2 linked regions of the Arabidopsis thaliana genome follow. The protein of the gene in region 1 interacts with the protein of each later gene in a pairwise test. Each region holds a gene or a part of one and is shown in the gene's direction. Other genes may lie near its edges.

Evidence for each region.
Region 2: the proteins of AT1G11210 (region 1) and ERF2 interact in a two-hybrid assay, tested with the Arabidopsis thaliana proteins (one large-scale study listed by BioGRID).

Annotation. Positions count from the first base shown.
Region 1 is NC_003070.9:3,755,016-3,758,819, reverse strand, and holds AT1G11210 (cotton fiber protein, putative (DUF761)), read left to right. Parts: upstream 1-1,821; 5' UTR 1,822-1,908; coding exon 1,909-2,449; intron 2,450-2,558; coding exon 2,559-2,944; 3' UTR 2,945-3,152; downstream 3,153-3,804. Other genes in the region: AT1G11200 (organic solute transporter ostalpha protein (DUF300)), read right to left, coding at 3,361-3,567.
Region 2 is NC_003076.8:19,170,887-19,174,953, reverse strand, and holds ERF2 (ethylene responsive element binding factor 2), read left to right. Parts: upstream 1-1,997; 5' UTR 1,998-2,199; coding exon 2,200-2,931; 3' UTR 2,932-3,311; downstream 3,312-4,067. Other genes in the region: AT5G47210 (Hyaluronan / mRNA binding family), read left to right, coding at 3,942-4,067.

The DNA of each region.
Region 1 (3,804 bases):
CGTCAGACAAACTTTGCGACTCACTCTCACCATCAAAGTCACATCACAGGGCAGTTGGATCGCTGTTCTTGTTCTGTATTTCGAAGAAGTTTCGTTTGCCACTTCTTTTTATGTCGGTAATATATTAACTAAAATTGGAATTTCGTATTGCTCTTCTTGTGCTAGATGAGATGTGAATCAAATGAAGCATGGGGATATTATTATTATTGTGAGAACGTCAAAAATACCTTTTGAAATTTCTTACCTTCTAATTTGTTAAAGACGGAATGTCATTGTCTGTAATTTTCTTTTTATAAGTATATAATAATTTAGTACATCGATCTTTCAAATGGTAATATTTCTAATTTATATATTCAATCCAAATGAAAATAAACAATCAAATCAAACAAACAAAGTTTACGTTTATATAACACTGTTAACTATATATGTGTTTGCTCTTTCGAGTCAAGCAACCATTATAACATATCCCTTTTTAAGAAATCATCAATGAGATATTAAAGAAAAACCTAAGAGCTTTTTTAGATATATCAAAAGGGTAAGATCCGAAAATGTAAGGATAATATCTGTGGTTTGAGCAGTAGTAGTATTTTCATCATTGCTGTAAGCGAAATTAGTAGTGGTCGACAAAGAAAAAGATTAAATAGTAAAGAGTGGATGGCCACTTGGGACGAGTCGGAGTCAAATATACGACGACAGTTGGAGAAACTTGACATCTACCTTGGCCCGTTCTTACTTCTTAACTCTTAAAAATACCTTAGTGGGTTTCTGCCGTCAGGGATAATTTTTATTATGAAATCCTTCATTTTAATCCGGTGACATAAATAAGATACTAGATCATTTGAAAGATAAATAATGTATCATAATAATAAAAATAGTGTTTTTGCGTTTTTGGCGATACTCATACTATGGATTAATTTGTTTTGTGGTAGGATATTATTTAATATGAGTAAAATACTTAACAATTTAATTATTTTAAGAAAAGAATTTAATGTCATTTTCTTGTAACATCTTATCAACTAGAGATTATACACTATAAACTTTTGTATCAAGCCGTTTTTAAAATTATGTGAGATTTTACTTTTTCTAAAAACAATTCAATGATATGATTTCTCTTGTTTTTACTTGATTGTCCTTATATAAACCAACCAAAAAAATACTATACTTTAATACTTGTTAAGTAATATTAAATATCCATCTTAGATATTTTACAACTCTTTTTAGGTAAAGATATTTTACAACCTTTTCTTTTCTTTGTTTTGCAAAAGGTTTTTAACAACGCTTTACATCCAATGCAGTTTGTAATCTATAAAAGAACATATAAACTTATACTCCGTAAAGTAATTAGTTATGAATTCGCTCAAAACATTATTCTCGTTTGTCTAAAATTAACATAAAACCCAATATACCGGTAAAAGTAAACATACATGCAAGGCTAAAAGACGTGGGCATAACGTGTGATTGGGAAACCATCGGAAACAAAAATAAGGAATTATAACGAATGGCCATACTAGGTTGACTAATAAGAGAATTATTATTTGACGTATATAAGATAATAAGACAATTATGGGATAAAATTAAGAGACATAAGTGTGGACACGTGAAGCTTAGAGTACGTGTCAATATTCAATAAGACATAAACAACAACAAAAAAAAGGGTTTATTCTCTACTCTTGTTTTGTTTATACAAGAGGATGCATCTACTGCCCCAAAACAATCCTGACCGTTCATGTCTCTATTCTTAGATCCAACGGTATGTATCAGCTATCTCATTGTCCCCTCTCATAGCTTTCTATATAAACCGAAAGAAAGAATAATAGAGTCAGAGCTAAGACTTAAGAGCGTCACAACAATATCACACTCAGATAAATATCAAGAGATAGAGAGAGTAACAGTGATATAGTCGAGAAAATGGCGTCGTGGATGAAAGCGGTGCTAATCTCTACTGGCGTCGTAGCCACGGCTATGCATCTAAAGGTTATTGTTCCTGTGGCTATGGATTTCTCACAAAATCCGATTATTTTGAGCTCTTTCCTCACGTGGCTGAAACCGCCGTATCTTTACGTCATCACTAACGTCATCATCATCGTTGTCGGAGTTTCCTACCGGATTACTACTGTCTCCAGCCACGTCGACGGCAAAGACTATGAGGCTTCTTACAGTGGCGACAATAAGTTTCAGACTGATCATCAGCAGATCGTCCAAGAAGCTCCTCTAAGGCGACGAACGGAGACGAAAGATGCGGATTTTGGTTTCATCGGCAAAGTTTTGCAGATCGTTAAGGAGCCGGAGGTTGTGTATGAAGAGAAGGAGAGGCCGGCGACGGTAGAGGAGGAGGAGAAGAAGTGTATAATTGTGGTGAGCAAATCGGAAAATCAACCTCCGGTGGAGAAGCCTCTTGTTACGGCTAGGATCGGCCAAAAGAAACCGGTGGTTAAGACTACACCAGCAGGTAATTTAATTTAGATATTTAATCACTAAGGTGACGTCATCCGAATTTAGATATTTTATAAAAATCTAAAAACACTATTTGTTAAAAGGTTAATTTCGTAATTTTTCAGAAAGGAATTCTATGAGAGCGTTGAGAGTTGCGAAACCGAAACGTAACGAGACGTTAGAGAATACGTGGAAGATGATTATGGAAGGCAACAAGTCAACGCTTCCGTTGACCAGTTATTACAAGAGACCCGACACGTTCGGACTTGGCGAAGAGACAAAACAATCAGGTGTTTTGAAGAAATCGGAGACGTTTAGTGACAGAACTAACTGTTACCAGTCTCTGCCGCCGCCACCTCCGCCGCTAGTGAAGGTGAAGAAGGTGAAAGTGTCACGGAGTAGGGATGAGCTTAACCGGAAAGTAGAAGCGTTTATAAAAAAATGCAACGACGAGAGGTTCGCGTCGATGAAACTGGACAACGAAGTGGCTCGTCATGGTCTTTCTTATTAAAATCATTTTCTTCATAATTTTTTTGGTTGTCTTTCAATACACGACAATAACAAGTTAACAAAAGTAGAAAGTCACGGATAAACAAAATCTCTGCTTTGTATTATTGATTGGATAAGGGTGGAATTGGTTGGTGCACCTAGTGATATTTCTTCTTCGTTAACAATGTAATTAAAAGTCATTGAATAGATATTTTCTCCTCTGCGTAAAGCCAAAGATATTAGTTAATGGGAACACTATAATTCAATCTACTTTATAATGCTCTTTCTTTCCTAAAATAGGAAAACAAATAAACAAAGGTACATTATCAATCACGATGGTAGTGGTAACATAACAACATTAACATTCACATTAACCAAAAAAAGAAGAAGATAAGATCTTCTCTGGTCTAAATTTGGAAAGAGTCTGCACTCTCAGAATCAATCTCTCTTGTTGAATCTCATCTTAGCTTCAGTTTCTCCACTGTAAGGAGCAACGTGAAAAGCGTACTGTTGAATGATGGAGAAGACGATCATCTCAAGACATACAAGCACATTTTGCAGAGCTTCTTCAAGCTGATCCACCTCCAACCAGAAATGATGCGACTTAATTAATCCCAATCCCACCAATATCTTCAGGACTATTCCCTGTGCAACACATAATTCCCAAGGTTTAAGAATGGAACAAGGCGAAAAATTAGACATGAATGCTTTAAACTTGACCCAATGTAGCAGTGATCCTAAAATCTATTGAGATGAGACTTTTTTGTGTCTCAAGTACCAACCAACAAGCTCTAAACGGTTTTCGTTCGCTACACAATCGAAAGACTTAGATTAAGGAGAAAAATCTCAACGCTCAGACCATATGCACATTACAAAAATCCT
Region 2 (4,067 bases), on another chromosome or scaffold:
GACAAGTTGCTAAACACTCTGACACACATTGCTACACAAAATGCTTTAGCTTTCGTGTAGTTTTTAATTTCCACGCTTGCGCCTTTAGTGCCGTAACACTAGGTCCCTGAAGAGGGTGGTCGCAAGACGGGCGAGAGAGGGCTCTCGCAGCTTCATATCTTGTCTTGACAGTATAATTACCGAACTTAGTCAATGTCCAACTATATCCATCTCGCGAGACATTTAGCCTCGGTTTTATCCCTAAAATCAAAGTAATATCCTCGGGGGGGGGGGGGGGGGAACAACTCCCGTAGACGATCTACTTTCCACCTCTTCGTCTGGAAGTCAATCAAGGTGTTAACGTAGACCAAAGGGTTCCTATCCATAATTAAACCTTTCGGTGGTCTTGGAGGAGTATCTGGGATCCATGGATAATAGGCGACTATATGTTCTAGGAGGTTGCACAAAGAAAAAGTTTGTTCTAGCATAATATGAGAATAGATGATTTACGTCTTAAAATTAAACTATCACCGACTAATAATAAGCATAATAAGATGTGACTAAAACAACTAAGATTAAATGATGATCATCATGACATTTGAAAATTATATAAACCCAAATCATAAAGAAACAAGAAACAATATGAAAACAATATATTCCTAAGATACAGCAAAAGTGGATGTATGTGAAACGTCCAAAGAGATAATTTGAGGATTAGCTGCGGAGTTCAAACATAAAAACGAAAGTTCAACTACTACTTTCATATTTAATTAATCAAAGTATTTAATTGCAAAACGGAACTTAACCTGATTGGATCCATAAGTATATTATCATTATTCTTTTACCAAAGAAATAAATAAATTCGTTTTTAATCATATTTAGAGCTATTCATGTTCTTGTAATCAATTAAAAGTTTCATTTGTTTACAAACATAACATCATATATACACTCAAAAACAGCAAAATTGAAATAACCATCTGACCAGAATGATGTGTTTGAACCAAAACTACTCTTGGAATCGAATATAGATTAAAAATATATAGTAAACTAATTTTTAGAGAGTTTGAGTGACTATTGACTAAACTATGCTTCCGTGAAGGAGGTCCCTTTTGCAAGTGGACATACGTGAGAGACCCACCATTAATTTGTCTTTGAGCCTTATTGTTGTTATTGACTTTTAGCCAATAGAAAGAGATGGAAATTCAATAATTATCCACAAAATTCCAAATCATTGGTGTACAAAAAGATCTAAGGCTGTTATATTTTCAAAAAAGAAAGAAAAGAAATGCAACAAATATGGATTAAACTGTGGTTTGTAAATTGAGCTTTGCATGAAAACTTTATCACTATGATTTCACTACTCCATATTTATTGACTAAAGTGGCACTAATGAATTTCTTAATCATGAAATCTTGTATCAAAAAGTACTAAAATAAACATGACATTGGCAATTAGGAAAATTCTAAATTAGAAATTAGTAAAAATGAAAGGTGAAAGGGAAAGATGATGATATGAATTGGTTGGTGACCAGGAGAAATGTATCCCGATTTTTGCAGACACTTTCAGTGTCCCCATTCATATAATTATGGCCCACCTCGTTAAGATTTTTCATTCACCACCATAACAAGATCTAAGCTTAGATTTCATGTAATTAAACATATAATATACTTGCCAATACTATCTAATAAAGTATACTTAAGCAAAAATTATTACTCTAGTGTAAGGCGATGAAATATAAGTTTAGTTGAAAATTTATGTCGATATAACAAAGTATAATGAATTAAGACCTTGGTTTTCGATTAACAAACTAATTAAACACTAGTTTTGCCTAATAAAACCGGGAATCGTATTCAAAACCGAACGACAAAACAAGGGACAAGTTGAGAGACAAAACCAAATCAGCATCTTTCTTCCAGAAATGTCATGACCACATGACGTCATCTTGACCCTTCTTCATTGTGATATCTGTGGATAAAGCGCACGTGTTTAATTCACGAACCTTCGTAGTAACGAAAAATCCACAACTTTCATATTTTTTAATTACCCACTAAACTAAAACAAATTTGGAAAAACATGAAAAACTTTTTCTTTTTTTCCAGGTTCGTGAACCTCGTACCCTCTATATAAACCTCTTAACCACCTTCCACATAGAAAAAAGTTCAGATATTTGATAAATCAATCAACAAAACAAAAAAAACTCTATAGTTAGTTTCTCTGAAAATGTACGGACAGTGCAATATAGAATCCGACTACGCTTTGTTGGAGTCGATAACACGTCACTTGCTAGGAGGAGGAGGAGAGAACGAGCTGCGACTCAATGAGTCAACACCGAGTTCGTGTTTCACAGAGAGTTGGGGAGGTTTGCCATTGAAAGAGAATGATTCAGAGGACATGTTGGTGTACGGACTCCTCAAAGATGCCTTCCATTTTGACACGTCATCATCGGACTTGAGCTGTCTTTTTGATTTTCCGGCGGTTAAAGTCGAGCCAACTGAGAACTTTACGGCGATGGAGGAGAAACCAAAGAAAGCGATACCGGTTACGGAGACGGCAGTGAAGGCGAAGCATTACAGAGGAGTGAGGCAGAGACCGTGGGGGAAATTCGCGGCGGAGATACGTGATCCGGCGAAGAATGGAGCTAGGGTTTGGTTAGGGACGTTTGAGACGGCGGAAGATGCGGCTTTAGCTTACGATATAGCTGCTTTTAGGATGCGTGGTTCCCGCGCTTTATTGAATTTTCCGTTGAGGGTTAATTCCGGTGAACCTGACCCGGTTCGGATCACGTCTAAGAGATCTTCTTCGTCGTCGTCGTCGTCGTCCTCTTCTACGTCGTCGTCTGAAAACGGGAAGTTGAAACGAAGGAGAAAAGCAGAGAATCTGACGTCGGAGGTGGTGCAGGTGAAGTGTGAGGTTGGTGATGAGACACGTGTTGATGAGTTATTGGTTTCATAAGTTTGATCTTGTGTGTTTTGTAGTTGAATAGTTTTGCTATAAATGTTGAGGCACCAAGTAAAAGTGTTCCCGTGATGTAAATTAGTTACTAAACAGAGCCATATATCTTCAATCCATAAACAAAATAGACACTTTAATAAAGCCGTGAGTGTTAATTTTTCAATCTAGTTTCATTTCTTACATGACATTCACGGCTTTATTAAAGTATTACACCATATCCCCTAATACAATCTCTTAACTCAATTTGAGTTCTATATTGCTAAGTAGCCAAAACTTGATCGAAGAGGTAACAATTACTAAAACCAAAATCCATCAACAGTAGCGCGACAATAAATAATAACCTATCTATTTTAGATTTTTTTTTGTTGTAAATGTTGTGAGCTTAAGTGTGTAATCACTTGTAAATGTTTCTGTTTGATACTCTTGAGAAGATGAAGCTGTCTAAGGTCGACAAGCAAAGGCTCTGCTAGAGAAAATTCATTTAAGCAATCAATTTATATCTTTGATTTTTGAAGCACATAAAACTTTGAACCCAATAAAGGTTTAGAATGAGAAAAACCGTGTCTCGCCTAGAGGATTCAGTATTGAAACCCAGTTATTCTCTTAATGGACTAAGAACGAATATTCTTTTCATTAATGGGCTTTAACCAACGAGAGCTGATATTTATTATTGTTAATGGGCTTAACCAGTTTGTAGCCCACGGATAGATAAAGAGAGGACCAGAACACAGTTAAATAGCACCCGCCGCAGAGAATAATAACTCAGGAAGGGTTTATAGATTAGGTTTTTAAGTCGCACCTCTCTCTCTCACTGCCGCATCTTTTCTTAGGGTTCTTGTTTCGCTATCTCTTAAACACAAACAGCTCTGTCCGAATAATCTCTCTTCAAGTACCTCTTTTTTCTGATTCTGTATATCGCCATGAATTACTGATTTCCCTCTCTATAAACCCATCAAAGTAAACCAATTTCTCCTGTGACTTGTACCTAACTCGATCTTACCAGACTGGTGATGGCGTCTTTGAACCCTTTCGATCTTCTAGGAGATGATGCTGAGGATCCAAGCCAGCTCGCTGTGGCTTTGTCTCAGAAAGTCGAGAAAGCTGCTGCTGCTGTTCAGCCTCCTAAGGCCGCTAAG